4 linked regions of the Arabidopsis thaliana genome follow. The protein of the gene in region 1 interacts with the protein of each later gene in a pairwise test. Each region holds a gene or a part of one and is shown on either strand. Other genes may lie near its edges.

Region 1 (5,118 bases):
CCACAATATCACCGCCAAACACCAGCTGATTTAGGAACGCACCGTGTAAACCCTTTCCCAAACCTTCCACTTTCTTCATCAACTCAACCGTGCGTTCTACGTCTGATTTTGCCGAGTTACAATCCTTCTCTGTGATAGGTGAATCTAATAGAAGAAGCTGATGGAATTCTTGGAGCAGAGCGTCGTGGTTACGAAGAATAGAAGCGACTTTGGTTTTGAGATCGATGTAACTTAAAGACTTAGATCGATAAGACTTCATTGCATTTAAAAATTTAACGATGATTGTCTTATCATCCAACTCTTTAACTTTTTTCACGAACTCGCAACTCCGTTGAATCTCTTCTTCCGAACAATCCGACGGAGTTTCATAAAAATCTCTCTCTTGATTCTTCATCCGAGGTCTCTTGCAACTTTTCATGTTTGTTCAAATATCTTCTCTAATGGAGAGGCGATTCTAATTGTGATTATATATACACTATTTATAATATAGGGTTATGGTATATATTCGAACTCATCCTATTTGGGTTTACATATATATCCTAACAAAAAGATAAAACAAAAGGACTAAATGATAGAATCGAATATTTGAATAAGATTACTGATATTATTGAAAACCAAAAACAAACAGTACACACTACAAACAAAGCTTACACATTACTGTTGTTAACAAACCGAAGATGATGATGCCTCTGGAATCTAATGTAAGAGTAGTCTAAAAACAGTAACAAAAGTAGGAAACAAAACACTCTTTTGCGGGATTGCGAAATTGTATAAAGAGAGAGAATTACGGGACGTTCATTACCTGGATTGATTGCAGCATGTCCGAGACTGCGATCACGAGGTCACCAGATTTGATCATACCTCTTGATTTCAGTAACGAGAATGTTTTGTTCAAGTTGCTTTCCATGTCGTCTGAGAAGCTGAGACGGAATGGGATAAGTCCCCATTGTAGGTTTAAGCGTCTTCTCACTGAGGTTGTGGTTGTGAAAGCAAAGATCGGGCAGTCCGGGCGACATCGGGAGACCAGTGATGCCATGTGTCCGCTCGTTGTGTAAACGAAAACCGCGTCCACTCCAAGATTGTTAGCTGCAAGTTTTTGGATAGTAAAATGAGACACTAAAGACATATTGCCTTCTATGGAAAACAAAGAACCTAAATTTACCCATTTTAGCAGCTGAGTTACAGATCTCTTCTGAGATTTTGTCTGAAAATGAAGAGCCTATGGCTTGAAGCGGTACAGACTCATGGCGTTTCTCTTCCCTCCACCATCTCTCGATTCTTAAACTGACAGTCCTTAGAACCGTGAGCGCCTTGTCTGGGAATTGTCCCATAGCTGATTCTCCAGAGAGCATCAATGCATCTGATCTTTGTCTTACTGCTTCAGACACGTCGGCAACTTCTGCTCTGGTTGGAGTTGGGTACTCAATCATGGACTCCAATAGCTGTGAAGCGACAATGACGGGTTTGTTAAGAGCTCTGCATACTTGGACGATTCTCTGTTGAGCTGCTGGAACTTGCTCAAGAGGTATCTGAGCTCCCAGATCTCCTCTTGCAACCATGGCCCCATCTGATGCTAGAATAATTTCTTCCAAATTGGTCAGTGAATCGATACTCTCGATCTTTGCAATCACTCCAATTTCCCTGCATCATAGTTGAATACAACATCAAAATAAAACTATAACTAAAGATGGTGAATACATGACGCAAAACCCAATCCCAAAGTAGATCATATGTTTCCTGTACAGTAGTATGATGTGTTGATATTGAGCATGTTTACTTACCCTCCACGGGAACGAGCAGCAAGATAACTTTTAAGGTGATTAATGACTTCAGCCGACTTGACAAACGATACAGCAATGAAATCCACACCTTCAGCAATTCCAAAATCAATATCCAACCAGTCCTGAATATAAAGAATTGAGGTATCATCAGTGAAAATGAGTATGTTTTCCCTCAGGTATCATCTGTTTTGCTAACATGGACTCATCTAGTTTCCAAAAGTGTACATCTTCACCATTGCTTTGATCCCTCCCAAATTTACCAAGTAAAGTGAATCATAATTCAAAGCTTAAAGGGAAGATACAAAATTACAAACCTTGGAAGAAATTGTTGGAAGCATGGCATTACGCTCTCGTACAAGACTTCCATCTCTCCAAAACGTCAAGTTAGCTCGAGGAAGCAACAATCCAGGATCGGTACATAGACACTTAACATCAGGACCAATCTTCTCAATCACTTCAAATCTCACCATCCCACCATCAACCAAAAGTTCATCCCCAACTCTTACATCTACACCACACACAAAGACCAAATGATTCCTATTTCATACGCAGTCACCATAATATTCATCTAATGTTTTCACTTCCACTTTTACATAAACATAATTGCATATACCTTCAGCGAAACCATCGTAGCTAACACTAATGGTACGTTCAGGACGAGAAGAATCAAAAGCTCTAACAGTGAAAGTCCAAACCTCACCATCCTGTAAAAATGTCATCACCACCAAAGCTTAAACATCTAAATCACAAACACAGCAATGTCTACATCGAATTCAAATCAAAATAAGAAGAGATTAAACAACCTCTGCTTTAGCTGAAGCTTCACCACCAAGATCTCCCATATGAATCTCACTACCTTCAGTATCCATCATAATAGCAACCGCAAAGCCTTTCTCCTCATTAAGCCTCCGAACACTACGAATCACACCGCGGTGCCAATCACGCGTACCGTGACACATATTAAGCCTTGCCACATTCATACCTCCCACAGCAAGCGCCTCAAGCTGCTCAAATCCACAAGTCGCCGGTCCGATCGTACAGATCAGCTTCGTCCTCCTCGTACTTCTAAATCCATTCTCCTTAAGCTCAGCTTCCGTCACAGTATCAACCTCAATCCCAGACGTATCAGTCGTAACCGCCGTAGCGACAACGGATCTCTCATCAGACTTCACAGCACCAGTACCGTTAGGTGAGAGAAGTACTTGCGAGGATGATGATGAGGACGATGAATCGAGATCCGGTGAAGGAGATGATGACGAGGAGGCTCTGATGGAAGTGTATTTGATGGTTGTTAGAGGGAAGCGACGGAAGGAGATAGAGGAGAGAGGACGGTTGAATTGTGAGTGAGGGAGATGGAGAAGGTGAGGAGTGTGTGAAGGAGTGGAGAATTGAATAGACTGAGACATGGTTTCGCCGGCGACGGAGGAAGAGAGATCGGAGAAATCGAAATCGAAATCTCAGGACAGTTGGCTCTGAGGAGAATGAAGGCGGAGATATCGAAGTGTGAGAGTGTTGAATTTGGATTTTTTTTTTTTTTTCTGATATGATAGGACTTTGGGAGAGAGGTTATATTTGGAATATTTGTATTTGTATTTATATATATATTCTATGTTTTGGTGCCGTCGAGGCTGTATGTAAAATAAGTGTACCTACCCACCTAAGAATGATCAAATTAGATTTTGTGATTATTACTATTATTATTTTTAATAAAATATTAAATTCGACCAAGAAAAAATAAAGTTAGGATACATCAAATGTAACTTTTCCAAAATTGTTTTGAAATTAGATTATACAAGAGAGGTTTTAAGGACTTTTAGATGCAAACCATGTTTGGAGATTTGGTTCGTATCTACTATATTTCTCCTTTCAAATGATTGAGAGTTTTTTTTTTTTCCAGCTTATCTATTCACTTAGGAAGATGTGTGATAAGAATCAGAGTTTTATTGTGTGTTTTTTTTATTGCGTTCTCGCCAAATCGAATGAACCATTATTTGAAAACTGTATTAGAGGAAGAATATATGGATTCTGTTACAGTGATCAGAAGTAATAATAATGACTAGAGCTTGCCATATTGTAGAGAATCGTCACTAGAGTAGTGGTTTCGCTAGGGAGGACCAGACTGCCGACGAGTACTTACAGCTGAAAAACAAGTGCTCTCGTGTCTCGATAAGAGTGTTACATAACACACATGTTCGATTCAAGTTCACATTCCAAGCCTTCATTGAATCTAATGTAGAGAGTCGATTCCGCATTGCTAGCCATATACAAAAAGAGAACTATCAACTATGATAGGATCTAAAAAATCCAATTAGACTTTTCTAGAACTATTATATATATATATATATATATATATATATATATATATATATATATATTTTAAATCATCGTATACAATAACAAAAATAAGATTCGTTACCAAAATTAGCACAAATTTAATAATAAAATAATCAATATAAGCATTTAATTAACATTTCACACGATCGTATTATAACCATGATTTCAAATTATAATTAAATTTGTTATTTTAAATCCTCAATATAATTTACTTCTATTTAATTTTATATACTTCTGTGGGCCGAGAAAATGTAATTGTTATAATCTAAAATATATGGAAAGGCCCTAAGCCCGTTTGAGTTTTTTTTTTTCTCGTTTAAAAACATCTTTGTGGATTTCAAGTCTTCAACAATGTTCGTCTTTGGCGTCGTGGCTAATGGCGGTGACGTGTTCGGTGCCATTACGGTAGAGGCTGCAGCCGTTTGGGTAAGTAAAAGAAAACATTACTATATAGTTTTCATTTTAATATTTGTTATATTAAAAGTTATTAATAATTTAGATCATCATATTTACAGTTTTGACATTGTTTCCCGCATACTTTTCTTCTTCTTCTTCTCTCCACCCATCTGCTTTAAGGAAGGAACCTCAAAAGCTTACAAAATAGTAGAAGAAGAACTTTTTTTGATCTCCGATTCTTACCTCTGCAATCTTCAGATTCTAGCTGATTCAAGGTTTGATCACAAATTTCCCGATTTGTATATATATAATTTAGATTTGGTTAACTTTATCGAATCTGGGATCGTTGTATCCAAATCTGATCTGGGCTTCTCTGATTCAATTACTTGGGTTTGTAAAATTGATGGGTCAATTTAAAGGATGTATCTTTAGGGTTTCTCGATTTCACTCTGTTTGTAGAACAATTTGATCGTAAAAGTAATGATGTGTTTTATTTGATTAGGATCTTGTTTGTGATAGAAATTGGAGGAGATGGGAGCATTCATGTCGAGGTTTTGGTTCATGATGTTTCCTGCAAAAGAGTATAAGATTGTTGTTGTTGGTTTGG
Region 2 (5,003 bases), on another chromosome or scaffold:
TGAATCTTATAATCTACTTTTAGAAAGTACTTTAAAATTAAACAGGACTAGAAACCAATTCTTCTATTTATGGATTCGTACACAATTTTTTTTTTTTTGAATACTAATATTAGTAGCTGAGACTGAGATTTTGACTTTTGTTTGATTCATTGATTGTATTGCAGAAAATTAGAATTAGAGTCTCAAAATACATTTTGGGCAATCTTAAAGAGTTTACTGTACTTTCGAACTAAGCCCAAATTAAAACCCCAATATGAAGACACAACTGACACACAAGTCATTACCAAAGGTCCAAAACATACAAACTTCTGCATGGTGAAGTTTTCTGGGGCTTACGGTTTCGAAGACATTTGTTAATGTTCTGACAGAGCTAGAAAACAGACAACTTCTCTTTAATTCTATCTTTTTGTTTGTGTTATATGCATCATTTTTTTGTCATCATCGTTTGATGTGCAGTGCAGTTTTTAATTCCTCTTTATTTTATTTGCAATGTTCGAATTTTCTTCCTTTTCTACTCTTCAAGACTCGAGTCATAAACCAAGCATGATATTACGAGTAAAAGTTGGGTCAAATAAATTACGTAGCAGGTTATTGTAAAGACCTAATTTCTCTCATTTGTTTGCTTAAGATTTAAGCTTCACCATTCAAGAAATGACACACCCAAATAAAACTAGAGAATAACTCACAAATCAAAACAAAAAACCATAAACATTAGAATGGCCAATCAAGATCAAGATCAAATGTTCTTGTTCTGTAACAACTTATGTACGTGTGGTAGATTTTCTCCGGTTTACTCAGACCGTACTCTATCCAATCTATCAACACTCTTCCTTCCTCTCTCAATCTGATGATGATTCTGATGATGCTGATGATGGTCAACGCTCTTCCTTGCCTTTTCGTGGAAGTCAACGCTTCTCCTAGTCCGATCTAAGTGCTGCTCGAACGTGATTCTCAGCTTACTCTTCTTTGAAGGACCCTTTGGAGGTTTCTCTTTCTCCCTTTTATCAACGCTTTGCCTCGGCTTCTCTCTTCTATCTACGCTCTGCCTCGGCATTTCCAAATCGCTGCTCTGTTTCTCTAATTGGGCCGTGCTCGCCCTCGAGGAGAGATCTCTCTCTACGGTTGTGATGAACTTCTTAAGGTGTTTAATGTATTCAGGATAGTGTTCTAGATCACAGTGGTTACCGCCTTCGAGCCAAAGCGGTTCATATTTCTCTTTAGAGAGTTCCCATAGTTGTTTTCCATGAGAACAGTCAACAACTTCATCACAAGTTCCCTGCCACAAGAGAAGAACCACAAAGAGTTATATACACTCAGTTTTCGAACTGAAAAAAAGGAAAAGAGAGTAAAATGAATATGGAACTCACGTGAATGACGAGAACCGGGCAATTCACAAGAGGTATTTTGTCGATATTCTGCAAATATTGTTAAAAGTGGACACTGTGAAAAAGATAGAGGAAAGCAAGAAAATCGAAAATGATCCATCTAAGAATGATGTATTTAATACCTTGAAGATGTCGAACCAGTATGTCTTCTTCACTGGATACATTACTCTTAGACCAGAAAGAATCGGGCTATGGAGAACAGCAGCTCTTAATTGAGGCAACCGAGCAGCAAGATCTAATGTAGGTCCACTTCCAACGGATTGGCCATAAAGGATTATGTCTTCCTGTTTTGCTCCATAGGTTTCCTCAAGACATTTATAAGCAGCTTCGATATCAGCATATGTATGGTGCTCACTTGGCTGCAGTCACACGAAAACAAGTTCGGTTATTTAGTTTTTCACTCGAATCGGGTAAAATCATTATCGATATCTCTACTTGTCGATTCTCAAAATGACAAACCTTTCCAGTAGATTGTCCATACCCGGAGTAATCGTACCTACAAATACAAAAGCAGAGAAGCAACATTTATAGAGCTGAATCAAGAAGCTATGAAGTTGTTTTGGTTTTTAATGTTCTCAAGGATCTGAAGTTGAGAGATGCATTGGTTCATAAAGATTATTGTGAGCTAATTAAAGTTTCCACACAATCTGAGACATAGAAAGAGTTTAAGCATCTTAACGCAACCAAGTTGTATCCACTATCCAGAGAGAAACACACAAGAAGACAACAAATCAAAATTTGGGAAAAGACAATGAACAATAGACTCAAAAACAAGTAAATGTATATAAATGTTTCAACCAAAAGCTTGATCAGCAAAAACTCGATACAGAGAAAAATCATAATAACACAAAAGAACAATCAAACAGTGTATCAAAAGAAACCAAGAAGAATAAACAAATCTCCAGAAAAAGAAAGAAAAACTCCAAATTCATTCGTTTTCACTTAGCAAAACACCATTAATACCAAAACCCACAAGGGACCAGATAAAAAATTTCTAAATAGCCATTAAAAAAAGTCTATGACTTTGATCAAATCCAGATACAAAACAGAACACAATTTCAGAGCAGAAGAGCTAATCATCATCATCAGAGCTATCTTAGAGAGAAAAGGACTAAAACTTTAACATACCCCATGAGATTAACCTTAAGATGGATGCTCAATTCGATGAAGAGCTCATACATCTGGCCCAGATCGGCGGCGTTTCCATGGGAATAAAGCAGAGTAGAGGTAGCCATCGGATGTCTGACGTACATAGCCACGATCTCTGTTCCTCTACGTGTCGGAAGCTTAAGGATTTCAACGTTTTCACGGTGAGGAAATGGGTTCATCAGAAGAAGTCCGGTCAGTTCATCGTAAACCAGCTTGTAAGACGACGGACTCGGCGGGAAGAAAGCGAACTTCGCCGCAACTGATGACGTCACACCTCCCATCTCTCTCTCTCTCTCTCTCTCTCTCTCTCTCTGCTTCACAGTCTCTTTTAGATGAAGAACATTTTTGTAGCTGCTGAAAGATTTGAGATTGAAGCTTTTGCTTGTCTCGGGAACGGAGAGAGAGAGAGAGGATTTAGGAAGAAAAAGTGGCACTTTGAAATGGTAAAGCAAGAGAATGAACAAAAACTGTTTATTAAAGTTTCGAGCTTTGGCTTATTATTATTTTAAAATTGCCATATTTTAACTACAGAAAATTGAAGATTACTTTCCCTGAAAAATGTTTTTTTATGCAATCTGAAATTAAAAGAGATTAAGATATTAAAACTATAGAGATTCGCAGACGAGTTAGAGTTTATATGTCAATGGAGTTACATTTTTTTTATAATGTTACTTTTGCAGATAAAAAGGGGTTTAGAGTAATAATTTAGCGTTGGTGGAGTGATAAATCAAAGCTTATGATTAAACATAAACATGTGTATTTTTATAGCTAGGAATGGCGAAATATAAGAGTGAGAGAACATGAAAGGCACTTAAATGTTATGATTTAATTGGACAAGAAATAAATATCAACAACTAACGATAAAAATATAAATATAAGATGACAAAAGAATGAATAATAATATTAGTAAGCTTTTTATTGTTAAGAAAAATAAAAGAATAAGGAAGGGGTATGTATGTATGTTGGTTTGCTTAATGCGGGTCCATGAAAAATTAGAAGCGGAAAGCAAATTTTGGAGTGGTGGGTCTTCACTCATTCATGCCTTGTGTGACAGCTTATCATTTTTAATGTTATTTTATCAATTTAATAATTATTATTATTCGTAAAAAGAATTTTAAACTTGTGCTGTAATTTCTTATATTTCTATTTTTCTTCTTCTCATGATATATACTATTTAAAATTATTTTACAAACTGTTGTTGAAAAAAAAAAGCTATTAGAAAAAATCAAACCTCTGGAAAACGATATTATTCTGAAAATGATAAATTAATTAATAACACAAATCTTGTTATATAATGGGCCTAAGAAGTTGTACTCATGGGCTTCGTCGAGGAAAACCTTAACGTCGTGGTGGCAACAAGTCAAGCTTGTGAAAAATGAACCTTAAAAGAACACAAGTGAAACTCACATACTTTTTGTTTAACCTGTTAGAAGAAGAATCTTAGAGCATCTCCATTGGTGAGATACTTCATGAGTATCTCATAATATATTATTAATATGTTTATGTTTAATTTAAGTAGAAAAACTTATATTAAAATTGTGCTTCCATTGGTATGAGTATCTCATTAACATTAACATATTATTATATGTTTTTATATTAAATTTAATATCTCTACAATATTTTCAAACATATCAATTATTTATTTTTACAAATTATATTATTAAATAGTTTTATTATTTTTAAAACCATAATTAAACATAATTAAACATTACTTTACATATAAAATCATAATAAAAAATATATAAATTAAACATAAAATTACATATAAAACCATGATAACATAAATTAAATAGAAAAAATATATAAATTAAACAGAAATTACATATAAAACCATGATAACATAAATCAAAGCTAACTATATTATCTATTATGGTTTTACTCTTCATTTGATGATGCACCAAACTTTTGTCATATATGCTCAACTAGGTCATCTTTTAGTTGTTGGTGCATATCTCTATCACGAAGTCGAATTCGATTGCCGAGAATGTTGCAAAATAAAAATAGAAAATTTTAAATGTTTGTTTTCTAATTAAAAAAAGCTATTGTATTTTTAAGTTATTATTATGTTTAATGCTTAACTAACACCAATTAAATAATATTCGTATATAATTTAAACATATACATGATAGAGCTTGTTATATAGATAATTTAATTTTATGAATTTTTAAAGTAAAAATAAAAAAAATAACAAACATATAAAGTATTTAATTGATGTTATAAAGTATAGATAATTTTATTTATAACAAAGAAAAGAAATTAATAACAAGGTGACATATGGAAGAGAGAGAAAGTTTCTCCAAGTTTCTCATTTCAAAAACGATTCTGAGAAAAACTGATTAAAAAATTATTATTTTCATATTTTTGATTTATTTTTATTTGGAGTTTTTCAGTGAGAAACCACCGATGGAGATGGTCTTACTTGCTTACTTCGACAAAAAAAAATCTTAATATATATAAATAATTTATGTC
Region 3 (6,855 bases), on another chromosome or scaffold:
GTATGCAACAAACTTTTGGATAAAAAAAAAACTTGGATGACCACTGAGCATCATCGAGAGCCGATGAGTCGATGACGGCCTGCAAATCCAAGGTAACTTGGATGCTCAGACTGAGAAGCATTCTGTCCAAAACGAAGTACAAATGAGCGGAAAGGACATCTACAGACGCATCGAGATGTTGTACAACGTCACGTTTATAAAGTTTAGTTTATAAGACTGTGCAGTTGGAATGATCAAACATAAATCAAATTTGCATGCCACCTTCAATTGATATTTTCTTCTATATCAAATACACACATTATCATGTGCTGGATGAATATAGTTTCTATATCTAACGATTACAAAAATATGAAGGCTCAAGTTAAGTCCATTGAGATCTCTGGCTAAGCCAATTAGCTAATGATGATGTTTGTTTGCGTTGTAATGTGAAGTACATTTATGGCGTTTTACAAATGTTAATTACTGCTAATAAGACTATGATTCTCAATTATCAGTTGCTTCTCTGGTGATTATTAGTCTAAATTCGAGTTTAATCCATTTGGAAAGATAATCTATTTTTATTCTCCAAACATATGTAATAAAGTTTCTTGTATGTACACAATACAACTATAAGAAGAAAAAGAACAACAAATACAAAGGAAATGCTAAAAAACCAAACCAAATTACACCCACAAAAACCAAAAAGAGTACAAAGTTACTAACCTCTGCCATTTTTTCATCACCTATAAAGGGTTTCGATGGCACCGTGCGATGAATCACATTCAGATTCTTCATCATATCAACAACTTTTGGTGATAAGAGAGTGGTGTTTCCCATCCATTCAACCCCTATTCTGAACTCTGATGGAGTGGAAGTAGTTAACTACAAGCTTCGAATGGTGTCCACGCGATCAATCACATCGAGAGCTTTCATGCGATCAATGTCAAAATCAATGATGGGAACAGAAGAAGGTCTTCTGGTTGAGAAAGTATCCTTCTTATTCTTCATCATCTCGCCCATCATTGGTGAGTGGCTACTGCTTTTGCTTAGCCTATGGTGCTTACAAAGACGTGCTTTAGCCACCGTTTCAAACTCTTGGCTCTTGCTTATTCCTGGCGTCTTTCTCCGCTTGCTTACATCTCTAAGCATCTCTTGATCCTCCGTAGTCAGCAATGGCAAACCCATACTCGGGTTGTGTGAACCGCTGGAGAGTTGGATCGTTTTCTGGTTAGGTGATCTGATTGGAGACTTAACAGGAGATCTTAGGCCATAACCTGTAGTGGCCCTGACTTGGGTAACGAGATGATGGAGCCACACCACCAGGTCTAATATGTAAGCCTCGGTTTTTTCTTTATCTGCATGGTGAAGAGTATCTATCCTTAGTATGGTTTGACCTGCAGGTCTCTGGTTCGCCTCCGACCTGAGTTATTTTGCATAATCTAACATTTAGTAAAGAATGCAGTTGTCTGCATATATACACAGCACAAAGAGAGAATCAGCTTGTAGTCAGGGCTTACCCGGAACTTGCCCATTCTCCAACCCATCCAAAACCATGATGCGCTCTGGTTGAGAAAAGAAAAGACAGAAGAATAAGTCTGACTTACTTTAATAGTTAAAACTAAGGGAATTTTACATGCTTTTGTTAACAGAATTAAGACATCACATGTTCCATTGATCCGCCAAAAAAAAATACATGATTTAAGTGAGAACAGAGTTCTAATGATGACACAAAACCAAAGATAAAGAGATAGAAAACATCACAGAAGCTTACTTGGTGGTGTTTGTAGCAACAGGAACAAGCCACTGCAATGTTTTTTCCATTTCAGCTTTTATTTGAGGAACAGTGAGCTGGTGAAAACAAATCAGATATAGTGAGGTGAGCAGGGATACAAATAACATTTCAAGTAACACTGGACATGGTAAATTCATCTTGTCAGCACAAAAGCATTATGGGAAGTGTGAAACAGTATTAATACCTCTTCTTTAACCTGGAAGGACTGTATTCTGGAGCGTAAAGCAGATTTTATGCTTGGGGGTAAACCTTGGTACAAAGCATCTCTTGTGCTTGCAGGCATAGTGCTAGACCGGGACACCTACTCATAGAAATGATAAATTTAAAATATATTCCACAAGCCGTATGGGTCCAATCATATTATTATTGCTGATGCTTGGAGGTAGATTATTAATGAAATCGGGAGACCATTGGATACGAGAAACAAACGATTTACAATCCCAGGAACCTAGAGTTTGGACAACAGGCCAAACATTGAAAGTAAAACTAAGTGATAAAAAAGAATAATATACTTACAAGAGTATCAATTTGAGTAATGATGTTTGCGTAATGCAAGGCAAGACCAGCAGAGCCCAGTTTTTTATGATTGATTGGCGGGTCATTTGCAGGCTTATCAGGATCTGCATATCAGGTGAAATGGCCATGATTTGTAAGTACATCTTTCATTTTAGGTACAAGAAAATAACTAAATCCTCTATCTTCCTGAACGCTAAAATAAGACGAAAACGCTTTATCCAATAATCGAGTCTCACCCGCACCACCAAAGGCTTCGTGAATCTCTAAATGCAAGAAATGGACAACATCTACTAGTTTCTCCATCACCTAAGTATTATTAGTATTTTCAAGAATTAGCAATTGTGAATGCAGATGAGCCAAGCAACTCCAAATAAAAGGAAATATTATACGTTTATTGCAGCCCTTACCTCTTCCAAGATCCTAGACCAAAGAGACTTTTTCTTTAAGTTTCTAACATGCTTCTTCTGACTCTTTAATTCAGTTCTCAAGATAGCGAGGGTATCTCCCACACCTTATGTAAAAGGAGAAAAAATGGAAGATAAATTAGAACGACATCCAACAAATAGAAGAAACTAGAGTGTAAAACAATAGCATCCATTCCCAAAGATATTAAGAATAGATATTTTCTTTTTGGTACTTACCTCGTTGTGCTGTGCTTGGGTTCTCTTCTTCCTGGATCTTACGTTGGTAATCTTGTTCAAACCTATCCAGCGCATGGAGTTCATGATACAAGTCCTGAAACATAACATATACTCAGAGTAGATCGCTATTGAGGAAGTCAAACAGGACCAAATATCACAATTTTGCATGAAAATACGTACAGCTGTAAAATGAACAAATGACATCATCTGGTGCATAATGGTCTCTGCTTCCTGTTTCAAGTGTTTCTGGGGTGTAAATTCAGAGCCCAACCTAAATCATAACACAGAACTAATGAAAAGTCAGATACTTTCCAAAAGGAATACACCCGTTGTGTGACCACCAAAGTGACAGGATCATGTTGGAACCTGTCAAAGAAACGATCCAGGTTGTGGTATTGAGGATCCTTGCAACGATTCCCAAAACGCACCACCTCTCCAGAAAAAATCCTCAACTCTTCCCTGTATACAATTTCAACCGTCACTTATCTCCAAACTACAAATTAGAAAACAGCATCAACACAGAACACAATCACAAACAATTGTTACCTTTTATCAGCAGCAGCAATTCTCAACAGTTCATCCATGTCTTTCGATATCAGGTTCTGAACACCTTCTGAAGGTAACACAACCTCTTTCAAATGAGTAATGCTATCTTTCGAAAGAGAATGCATAAGATTGGCGCCTTTAACAATAGTATTAGCAACTTCAAAAGACAAGATTGATATCTTATTCCCTTTCACCGTCGTCGCAGAAGAAAACCCCCCACTAAGATTCAGATTCGTCATACTACTCCCGAGTGTATCCAACACATCCACAGCTTTACCAAGTCCCATAGTACCAGCCCTACCCAAAAGAGAGCTTACTTCCGAAACCTATAAACAAAAACACCTTAGTATAATAAATTTGAACTCAGAACTAACAACACACAACAGCTTAACATTTCTTTATATACCTTAGCAACAGCAGCTTGTCTAGACTTAGTGGATCTAGATTTCTGAGATAAAACCCTCGATAACCGAGGAATCCCATCCTCGATATTTTGAGGATGAGATCCACTAGAGACTATAGGAAACGAAAACGATTCCGATGTATGCTTATTATCATCAACATTCTCGGTAACAGGAGAAGGATCATCTTTAAGTCCACTTTCACCAGAATGAGAATTCAAGTCAGAGGCATTGTTATTGAGATGATGACCATTAACATGTGCAAAGGTTCCACCAGGAGCATTATTTACAGATGAACTCCTTGAACAAAGCCCACCCATCACAGCAAGTTTCCAAATTTAGCTCTCAAACTCTCTCGAAACTCTCCATACGCAAAAAAAAACTCTGATCTCGGATTGAACTCTCTAGGAAACTTGAAATGGATGAACAATGTAACCAGCGAAACACTGTAATCGCAAATCCTGATTTGTATGAAAGCAACAGTCCATTAATGGAGCAAATTGCTCAGTGGAAAAAAACTTGATTCTCTCATACGAAACCTGCCAATGAATCAAGAAGATTTTAAAGTCAAGAGGAAATCGAAAACCCTAGCTAAAGAAGAACCCAAAACGACAAATTCAATTCAGTAGCTTGAAGGAATGGAGAAGAAAGACCTAAGAAGAGTCAGAAACTTGGATCTGGGAATTAGATTGAAGTTCAGATTCTTCTTCTTCTTCTTCGTCGCTAGTTCTTGAGCAAAGCTCTAGAGAGAAGTGAGAAGCTCTCAGCTGAAGAATCGTGGAGATGTCTACAAGGAAAAGAGAAGAAGAAACGCGACTCGAGAAAGAGAGAGAGAGGAGAGATGAATTGAATTTGGGTTAGTCTGAAGAGAGAGGAGGAGTTGGAGAGTGTCAGATGGTGAAGTTAGCCAAAAATTCAACCCCCAAAGGCTTTTTCTCGTTTTACCCATTTCTACACTCTTCAAAACTCTCAATCCCATTTACACATTTTTATTATTTTTTTACTAACAAGTTGCAGTATATTTTATATTATCAAATATTACTACATAATTAGAATTATTTTGTATGTTACCAAATTTTATTTACATAGTTAAATTTATGTTTATATAGTCTTTTAAATGGATTTCATTGAAATTCTTTGAATTGGGATCACTTCAACAGAAATCAGAAATAAAGACACGTCAATTTCGAAGAATACCATATGTTGTTATCAAATTATCATCAAATACATATCGGTGTAATGTTTCGAGTTTGTTATGCGAAAATTCACTTTTGATAGGTGTTTTTTGGAATTTAAATTAGTATTGTGATGGAATAATTAATGTCGATAAAATCGATTTTCGTCGAGTTATAAGATTCGGAATAAATATTGTTTTCTCTTTGTGATTTCAATCTATTTTTCTTTTGTTTGAAATCATTCTAATTCAATATTATTGAGGCAAAAAAGAGTTATGGTTATATAAAAGAATTACAATATAATATCTTTTGTTGTATATTCCAAGTAGTAAACTAAGTTGTATCAAGTAGTAAATTTTGAAATATTTAACCATTTTGTACCTTTGATTGTGTGAATGAAGGAAGTATTTGGTAATTATTGTAAGTCCTTGAAATAGAAAAAGGTGAAGAAAATCAGTCAACATGTATATGCATATCTAGTTTTGAAAATGAAAGTTGACTTTTTACCAAGTAAAGGACAACAGAATCTAAAGTAGGTTTCAAATTACATTGTTTTACCAAATAACCTATGTGTGGCAATGTCATAATAGCTTTATAGCATGGTCAAAGGTAGGAAGCTTGAATAAAAAAAAAATGTTGATATCATATAGGAAAATAATTGTTATTATCATTTAGTATTTATGTAAATAAATGGAATGTGATGGCCCATAGCTTATTTATTACATAAAAGATAAAAGCTATAAAATGATTTGGAACTTCAAAGGTATGATCATTTATTTGGAATGTTATAATTATTCAAAAGAAAAACAAATTACAAGCGAGTTTTTATCTTTTTTTTTTCAAGTCTTGAGATTTCAATATTAATTAGTAGTTTGTAGTTGTAAAAAAAAACAGAAAGAGATTTCAATCGTATTTTCATAAACATGATCCTAAACCAATTTCAATGATAAACTAAGTGAAATTAATTCTTAGTATTTTAGGCTACTTATTTAACTGCGAATTAGCCTAATTTAATGATAAGGTTGCCTCTCTTTTGGACCAATTCCACGTTTCAACAAGTTCACATTGGTCAAATCTTTTGAGTTATTCTTCTGTCTCCATCGCAATTCATCATGAATATTTTGATTCTACATTTCTTTTTCTTTCTTTTTTTGCTCAATTTTTTGGTCAAATGATTCCACAATTCAATTTATATTTTTTGTAACTAATTCATTAGCCCCCACACTCCTAATACAAGAAAACAAAACAAAGGCACCTGAATTATCAAATACTAGTTTACGGCCCGCGCTATGCGCGAACAAATTAGTTAGAATCAATTAAATAACTATATTTTGTAAATGTCTTTACATCAGTAGAAGATCAAACAATTTTGTAAAGCATAATGCATATATTAAAAAGTTTGGATTTTTCTTGATTAATTGAAATCAGGTCTAATAGTTATAGTGGTCATAAACCTCTGAACATATTTCATTAGTTTAACAGAACTGGTACATGACATGAGAACTTCACACACGTTCGGTTATAAGTACGACATACAAACTGAAAACTAGATATTTTAAACCGTTTTTGTGACATTATTTGCGTCTAGTACATATGTGCTTATGTGTCTAACTTGTTTCCTCCACGTACCAAGGCATACCACACCTATAGAAAAATGCAAAACCATTTTTTAGTATAGTTACCGACAATCACTCATCAACTTTCCAAAATAAAACAAATAGAGTTAAATTCAAAGAAAAACGTTTATTTTTATTTTGAATATAATTTAACATTAAATTCAAAAAGATAAAAGGTAGTTGTGTCCA
Region 4 (4,749 bases), about 13 Mb from region 1:
GGGTGGAGGCGGCGACGGTGTTGTGGTCGCAGGAGGAGGAGGAGGAGCTGCTGATTCCGCAGGCGATGTTACTGTAGCGGACGAGCTCTCCTCGGAGGCTAAAGAGACAGACGGTTTGAGAAACAAGGAAGCAGCCGAGACTAGAAGTGGTGGCGCGAGTAGAAAAGCGCGGCGAGAGAAGGCGGTTCGTGATGGAAGATCGGAATCAGAAAGAGCAACAATGGATAGAGAATTGTTCTTCTCGCTGGTGAGGTTGATCGGAAAATGAAGGCCATAGAAACGTCGGCGGCGAGGACGGGAGGAGGAGGAGCAAGGGCAGTGAAATAATGGTTGAGAAGCGAAGAGATCATTCGTGGTGAGTTTCATTCTCAGAGGCCAGAGCTGAGAAGAGAGCTCCGTTTGTACACGTCAGCGTATTACATACATTGCTAAGACCGATACGAATAAGAGAAGAATTTTAATATTTTCCTTCACTGTTAAAAACATTCGTCAATTTTCTTCTGAATTTTTGAGCCTTGATTTTATTTGATGATCGGAGAAGATAAGATAGCCACGTCATTTCTATAAAAATTCCACAATTGTTTTTTTTCTCTGGTGCAGAAAATCCACATTACGTGACAAATGATGAGAGCAAGATCAAAGTAGACTCTTTGCAACTAAACAGATTACAAATCTTCATTGAACAAACACAGGAGAAGATGAATAGTACAGTCTCCGGATGAAAGACTATTCATTTGCTATGGAATTGGGCTGAAGAAACCATCATCACTGGATGTTGATGTCGTGGAAAGATGGCAAGACTGCAACCAGAGGATCTCCATAACCTACGGAGTCTGTTTGCACACGAAGCATGAGTTCATATCAATTCACTTATATAATTTCTGAATGTTCATACTAAATGAAACGGTTTGAATACTCAAATGTTTACCTCCGTCATCTGAAAGAAGCTTAAGGACTTCTCCAGCTACATCTGACTGCTCGACAAATAGCAAGATCGATGAGTCTGATTAGATAGTTTCAAAGAAGAGATGGATATATTAGTTAAGATATTACCGTCACTGGAAGTTCTGTTCCCAACTGATGTAAGTATCCAATAACTTGGCCTTCCTTTATTGCATCACCCTAAGGAGTTTTTTTCACTTAGCTCTTTGATCTTATTTCTGTTCTTTTGTTCTAAGAGATGCAAAAGAATTTAGAGTCGTTTACCTCTTTGCAGCTAGGAGATTGTTTCTTTCCTTTTACAGTTCTGCTCCTCTGAAACTTGCCCACCTTTTGGTAAGAGAAGAAACAAGATCAAATCAAACAAGAAAACTGCAGAGAAATTAAGGGATATGAAAGCAACCACTAATTAGGAAATGGATCTCATACTGCGGGAGATGTGACTAACACATAGTTGGTGGATCCAGATGCCTCCAAAGCAGCCAACTTTGCTGGTTTCCCATATGATGTATTCTTAAATGGAGACACTTTCTCAGAGGAAGGCTTTGCTTGAGATGGGCTAGGAGCCGAAGAAGCAGATTTATTCATAGGTTCAGAAGGAATAGGAGGCGCTACAGTTGGAGATATATCCGCCACGGGAATGGGGTTTGTGGCTGCTCCAATCTTCCGTTTTAGGTTCATCTCGAAATCTCCAACCTGTAGCAAAAGAAAGCTTCAGAAGAGTCTAATTGTTGGAACCTACATTCTATTATCTCAAATCAGTGATATTTAGCCCCATATTGTTGGTTGAGTAAAATGCACTCGTCTTTGTAGTAGCCTCAAAGAAAGTTTACAAATAATAATAATAATGAAGTTAAAACTAATGGCAGAGAGACTTGCCTTAAGTTGCAGCACAGCAACCTCAGTTTCATCACACATCTCGTGAACCAGTGCCTGCAACATTTCATCTAACAACATATAAAGAAAGGTACATCCATACGTCATGATTAAAAATTATAAGAGTAGATTGCCTGAAGTTATGCATCCAAAATCCTGACGATCTAGAAAGTGCATATTTGAGGAAATCGTCATATCATCACCTACCAAACTTATAAATTAAAGAACCTAATATCTAAGACCCATGAAAGGCAAGGAAGAAACCTCCACTTCTTTCGGGAAAGTTATCCGTCGAACTGTTTTCTTCCCGTCTGACACACTAGCATCAGATGAACCTGCAAAGCCAAAAATAAGCAAAAGTCATAGGAAATAAAAGAAAAATGTTCCAATATCACATCACTGTATCTCCTGGTTCCAAGACAGCTGGTAAAAGACCGAGGCTTACAGTTACATTTCTAGTTCCTTTAAGAGCAAACGAGACTAAGAATTTCAGTTCCAGTTCCTTTAAGAGCAAAACAGATTAATACCATCTTTGGCCAATGGATCGTATTAGCAAAGTGATGAGACAAGCCTGATAGTAAAAAAAGGCATTAACCAGCAAAATGAACATGAAGAAGAATTGTGGAAGATAAACTCACCATCACTTATGGTTGTTGTCGAAGATTTAGCGGCCTTAGCACGTAACACGAGCCTGTAGTTGCTGTTCCTGTTGGATAATCTCCACCGTGGCACACATGAATTACCAGAGGCAGACCAGTTTCCAGAAAGCGAGTGAACCTCACTCTGTGAATTAATGGCTGACCCTAAAGTCTCTGTAAAATGGAACAAATAAAATTCACTTTTTCTAGCTGAAACATCTCTTGATACAAATTAGACACACAAGATCCGAGATTGAAACTTAATTAAGTCGCTAAATTACACTCTAAGAAGCAACAACGTCACTAACGGATAGCTCCAATCTATGCCTTTCATTTCCGAAATTTTACTCATGGTCCTCCATTTCTAGTTTTCCTATCCTCATGAAATCAACAGAATAAGTAAAACGCAGAGAGTGAGAGAGCAAGAGACTCACGATGGAGAGATCCGAGAGCTGCAGAAGACGCCATTGGAAGAAGAAGAAAGCGTGAGCTAGATAGGAGAAAAAGGTTTTGGTTGATTGAATTGACGCCAAGAAGAAAGAGTGTGTTAGTTGAGCTAAGATCAGTTGAAGAAGATGACGGTTGAACAAATTTAATTATTTTGAGCGGCCTTCTTCTTTGGTAACTCCGTCCGCCGCATCTACTACTACACTACGGTCCGTCACTTTCCTTTGCTAACATGCGCCGGTATACTAACAAAAAGGCGTAATTTAGTTCTGAAAATGTAGTATTATTAACAAAGGCATATTCTTATCTCTCTTATATGCTTTCATCAATTAATTTTATCAAAAGTCTTCAGCTTCTGTTAAATACTATTAAGCAAATTTAAGTGTCCCCATTTTCTATCAACTTATGCAGTAGCTGACTCTATGTGCCATGGAATCAAACAAACAATACCAAAAGCAAAAAGAAAAGATTTCAAATGCGTTTTTTGATTCTTCTTTCTTTCCTAGAAATGTCTTTTACTCTTCTTGCTTCAAGCATGCTTCAGGTAGTCTAAAGCTTAGGCAAAACATAGCCTGCAAAGTACAAAAGAAATCTAGCTCAGGAACTACAGATGCTATGTTTTGATAATATATCAAAAAGAAAAACAGACGAGTGGGATCTTACCTTGTTTGGAGCAACATCTCTAACCTTGTGGAAGACTGGATCTTCTATATGGAACTTCAAAGCAGTTTCAGCTTCCTTAAAAATATCAACAGAAGCTGTATATCAGATTTAAAGGCTCGCAGAAAAACGCTACCAGATCTTTGGTACAAAGATATGATATAGTGAAGACAACAAAACTAGAAGGGACAAGCAGGAGGGGAGCGGTTGATACTTACTGCAATTATAAACTCTGTGGTTTCGCTTGCACGGATGAAACAATAGCAATGAATTAATGGAAGAGGTCCTTTCCAATACTTCTTTTGAATAACATTACTGAACGAATCTGCAAAAACAATTACAGAGCTTATATGCATTAGTAGTGTGACAAAAACAAATCCTGACTTCCTTTCTTACTTCTAACTGAAATTGAAGAGCCAATCACATAACTCTTCAAACAAGCCTTAATACATGATGCATCTCCTATTTCTATTGGTCCTGGTCCTAATTAACTTGCTGATGCGGAATGTAGTTGATAGTTGATGAAACTCTAATGCCTTGCAAGTATATGCAAGACTCTAGTCCCAAATTTTGAACAAAAATAATAAAGAATCATTGATAGCATACCAAGAAACTGCAAGGCAGATGCTGGAAGGTTCATAATAACATGGTCGATATGTTCCCACGGCTTTGCGATTGGAAGCAACGTTTGTCTCAATCTCTTATTTGCGTGTCCTTCTATACTCTTGCAGTCTTTTCCTACCCCATTTTCTGCACTCAATTAACATACTGGTGAGGATCCCCAGGCATTAGGCAATATTAACTAAAACAATGTCTTGGAGAAATCTTTATGAGGCATTTCTTACCCGTCTTTGTAGTACCAGATGGCTTCTTATTTGCACCAAGAGGCTCATTTATGCTTGCATTGGATTCACGTATTTCCTCTCCACTGGAATTAGTCTCACCTATGATTAAGCAAAGTAAACAGAAACCCACCGGTAAAGTTATTTTTTGTCTCTCGTAAAACCAAATATGCCAACTATAATGCAAAAAAATAGTTTAAACCAAAAGAACTACCTCCTCGACTCACGGCTGCTTCCTTTGTTTTATCATTATCAGCCACTGATTGCAAATTATCCTCGCAAGTTGACACCGCCATCAAGTGAGAGAAAAATTTACGAGCATCCATGTTGTGCACACAAATCAAATC

What was found.
Region 2: the proteins of PKP-ALPHA (region 1) and AT5G14390 interact in a two-hybrid assay, tested with the Arabidopsis thaliana proteins (one large-scale study listed by BioGRID).
Region 3: the proteins of PKP-ALPHA (region 1) and AT1G34320 interact in a two-hybrid assay, tested with the Arabidopsis thaliana proteins (one large-scale study listed by BioGRID).
Region 4: the proteins of PKP-ALPHA (region 1) and AT3G56130 interact in a two-hybrid assay, tested with the Arabidopsis thaliana proteins (one large-scale study listed by BioGRID).

Annotation. Positions count from the first base shown.
Region 1 is NC_003074.8:8,137,438-8,142,555, reverse strand, and holds PKP-ALPHA (Pyruvate kinase family protein), read right to left. Parts: upstream 3,372-5,118; 5' UTR 3,188-3,371; coding exon 2,585-3,187; intron 2,486-2,584; coding exon 2,395-2,485; intron 2,290-2,394; coding exon 2,096-2,289; intron 1,904-2,095; coding exon 1,782-1,903; intron 1,642-1,781; coding exon 1,163-1,641; intron 1,087-1,162; coding exon 785-1,086; 3' UTR 504-784; downstream 1-503. Other genes in the region: AT3G22961 (Paired amphipathic helix (PAH2) superfamily protein), read right to left, coding at 1-418; ARFC1 (ADP-ribosylation factor C1), read left to right, coding at 5,043-5,118.
Region 2 is NC_003076.8:4,636,761-4,641,763, forward strand, and holds AT5G14390 (alpha/beta-Hydrolases superfamily protein), read right to left. Parts: upstream 3,076-5,003; 5' UTR 2,816-3,075; coding exon 2,514-2,815; intron 1,882-2,513; coding exon 1,845-1,881; intron 1,745-1,844; coding exon 1,508-1,744; intron 1,416-1,507; coding exon 1,368-1,415; intron 1,277-1,367; coding exon 791-1,276; 3' UTR 527-790; downstream 1-526.
Region 3 is NC_003070.9:12,518,053-12,524,907, reverse strand, and holds AT1G34320 (Ikzf5 (DUF668)), read right to left. Parts: upstream 4,850-6,855; 5' UTR 4,529-4,849; exon of another isoform or gene 4,415-4,528; 5' UTR 4,196-4,414; coding exon 3,881-4,195; intron 3,801-3,880; coding exon 3,475-3,800; intron 3,388-3,474; coding exon 3,295-3,387; intron 3,200-3,294; coding exon 3,109-3,199; intron 3,023-3,108; coding exon 2,929-3,022; intron 2,799-2,928; coding exon 2,695-2,798; intron 2,594-2,694; coding exon 2,524-2,593; intron 2,392-2,523; coding exon 2,288-2,391; intron 2,073-2,287; coding exon 1,956-2,072; intron 1,828-1,955; coding exon 1,751-1,827; intron 1,542-1,750; coding exon 1,497-1,541; intron 1,400-1,496; coding exon 862-1,399; 3' UTR 531-861; downstream 1-530. UniProt on the Arabidopsis thaliana protein: Promotes seedling growth probably via the regulation of phytosulfokine (PSK) signaling; PSK are peptide phytohormones acting as growth factors. Together with PSI2 and PSI3, required during vegetative growth and reproduction.
Region 4 is NC_003074.8:20,825,024-20,829,772, reverse strand, and holds AT3G56130 (biotin/lipoyl attachment domain-containing protein), read right to left. Parts: upstream 3,198-4,749; 5' UTR 2,922-3,197; coding exon 2,888-2,921; intron 2,628-2,887; coding exon 2,454-2,627; intron 2,151-2,453; coding exon 2,080-2,150; exon of another isoform or gene 1,924-2,079; coding exon of another isoform or gene 1,873-1,923; coding exon 1,819-1,872; coding exon of another isoform or gene 1,815-1,818; intron 1,636-1,814; coding exon 1,369-1,635; intron 1,270-1,368; coding exon 1,207-1,269; intron 1,123-1,206; coding exon 1,054-1,122; coding exon of another isoform or gene 1,042-1,053; exon of another isoform or gene 975-1,041; coding exon 929-974; coding exon of another isoform or gene 867-928; exon of another isoform or gene 834-866; coding exon 766-833; 3' UTR 503-765; downstream 1-502. Other genes in the region: AT3G56140 (DUF399 family protein, putative (DUF399 and DUF3411)), read right to left, coding at 1-366; AT3G56120 (S-adenosyl-L-methionine-dependent methyltransferases superfamily protein), read right to left, coding at 3,416-3,472, 3,564-3,638, 3,779-3,885, 4,167-4,310, 4,406-4,504, 4,617-4,749.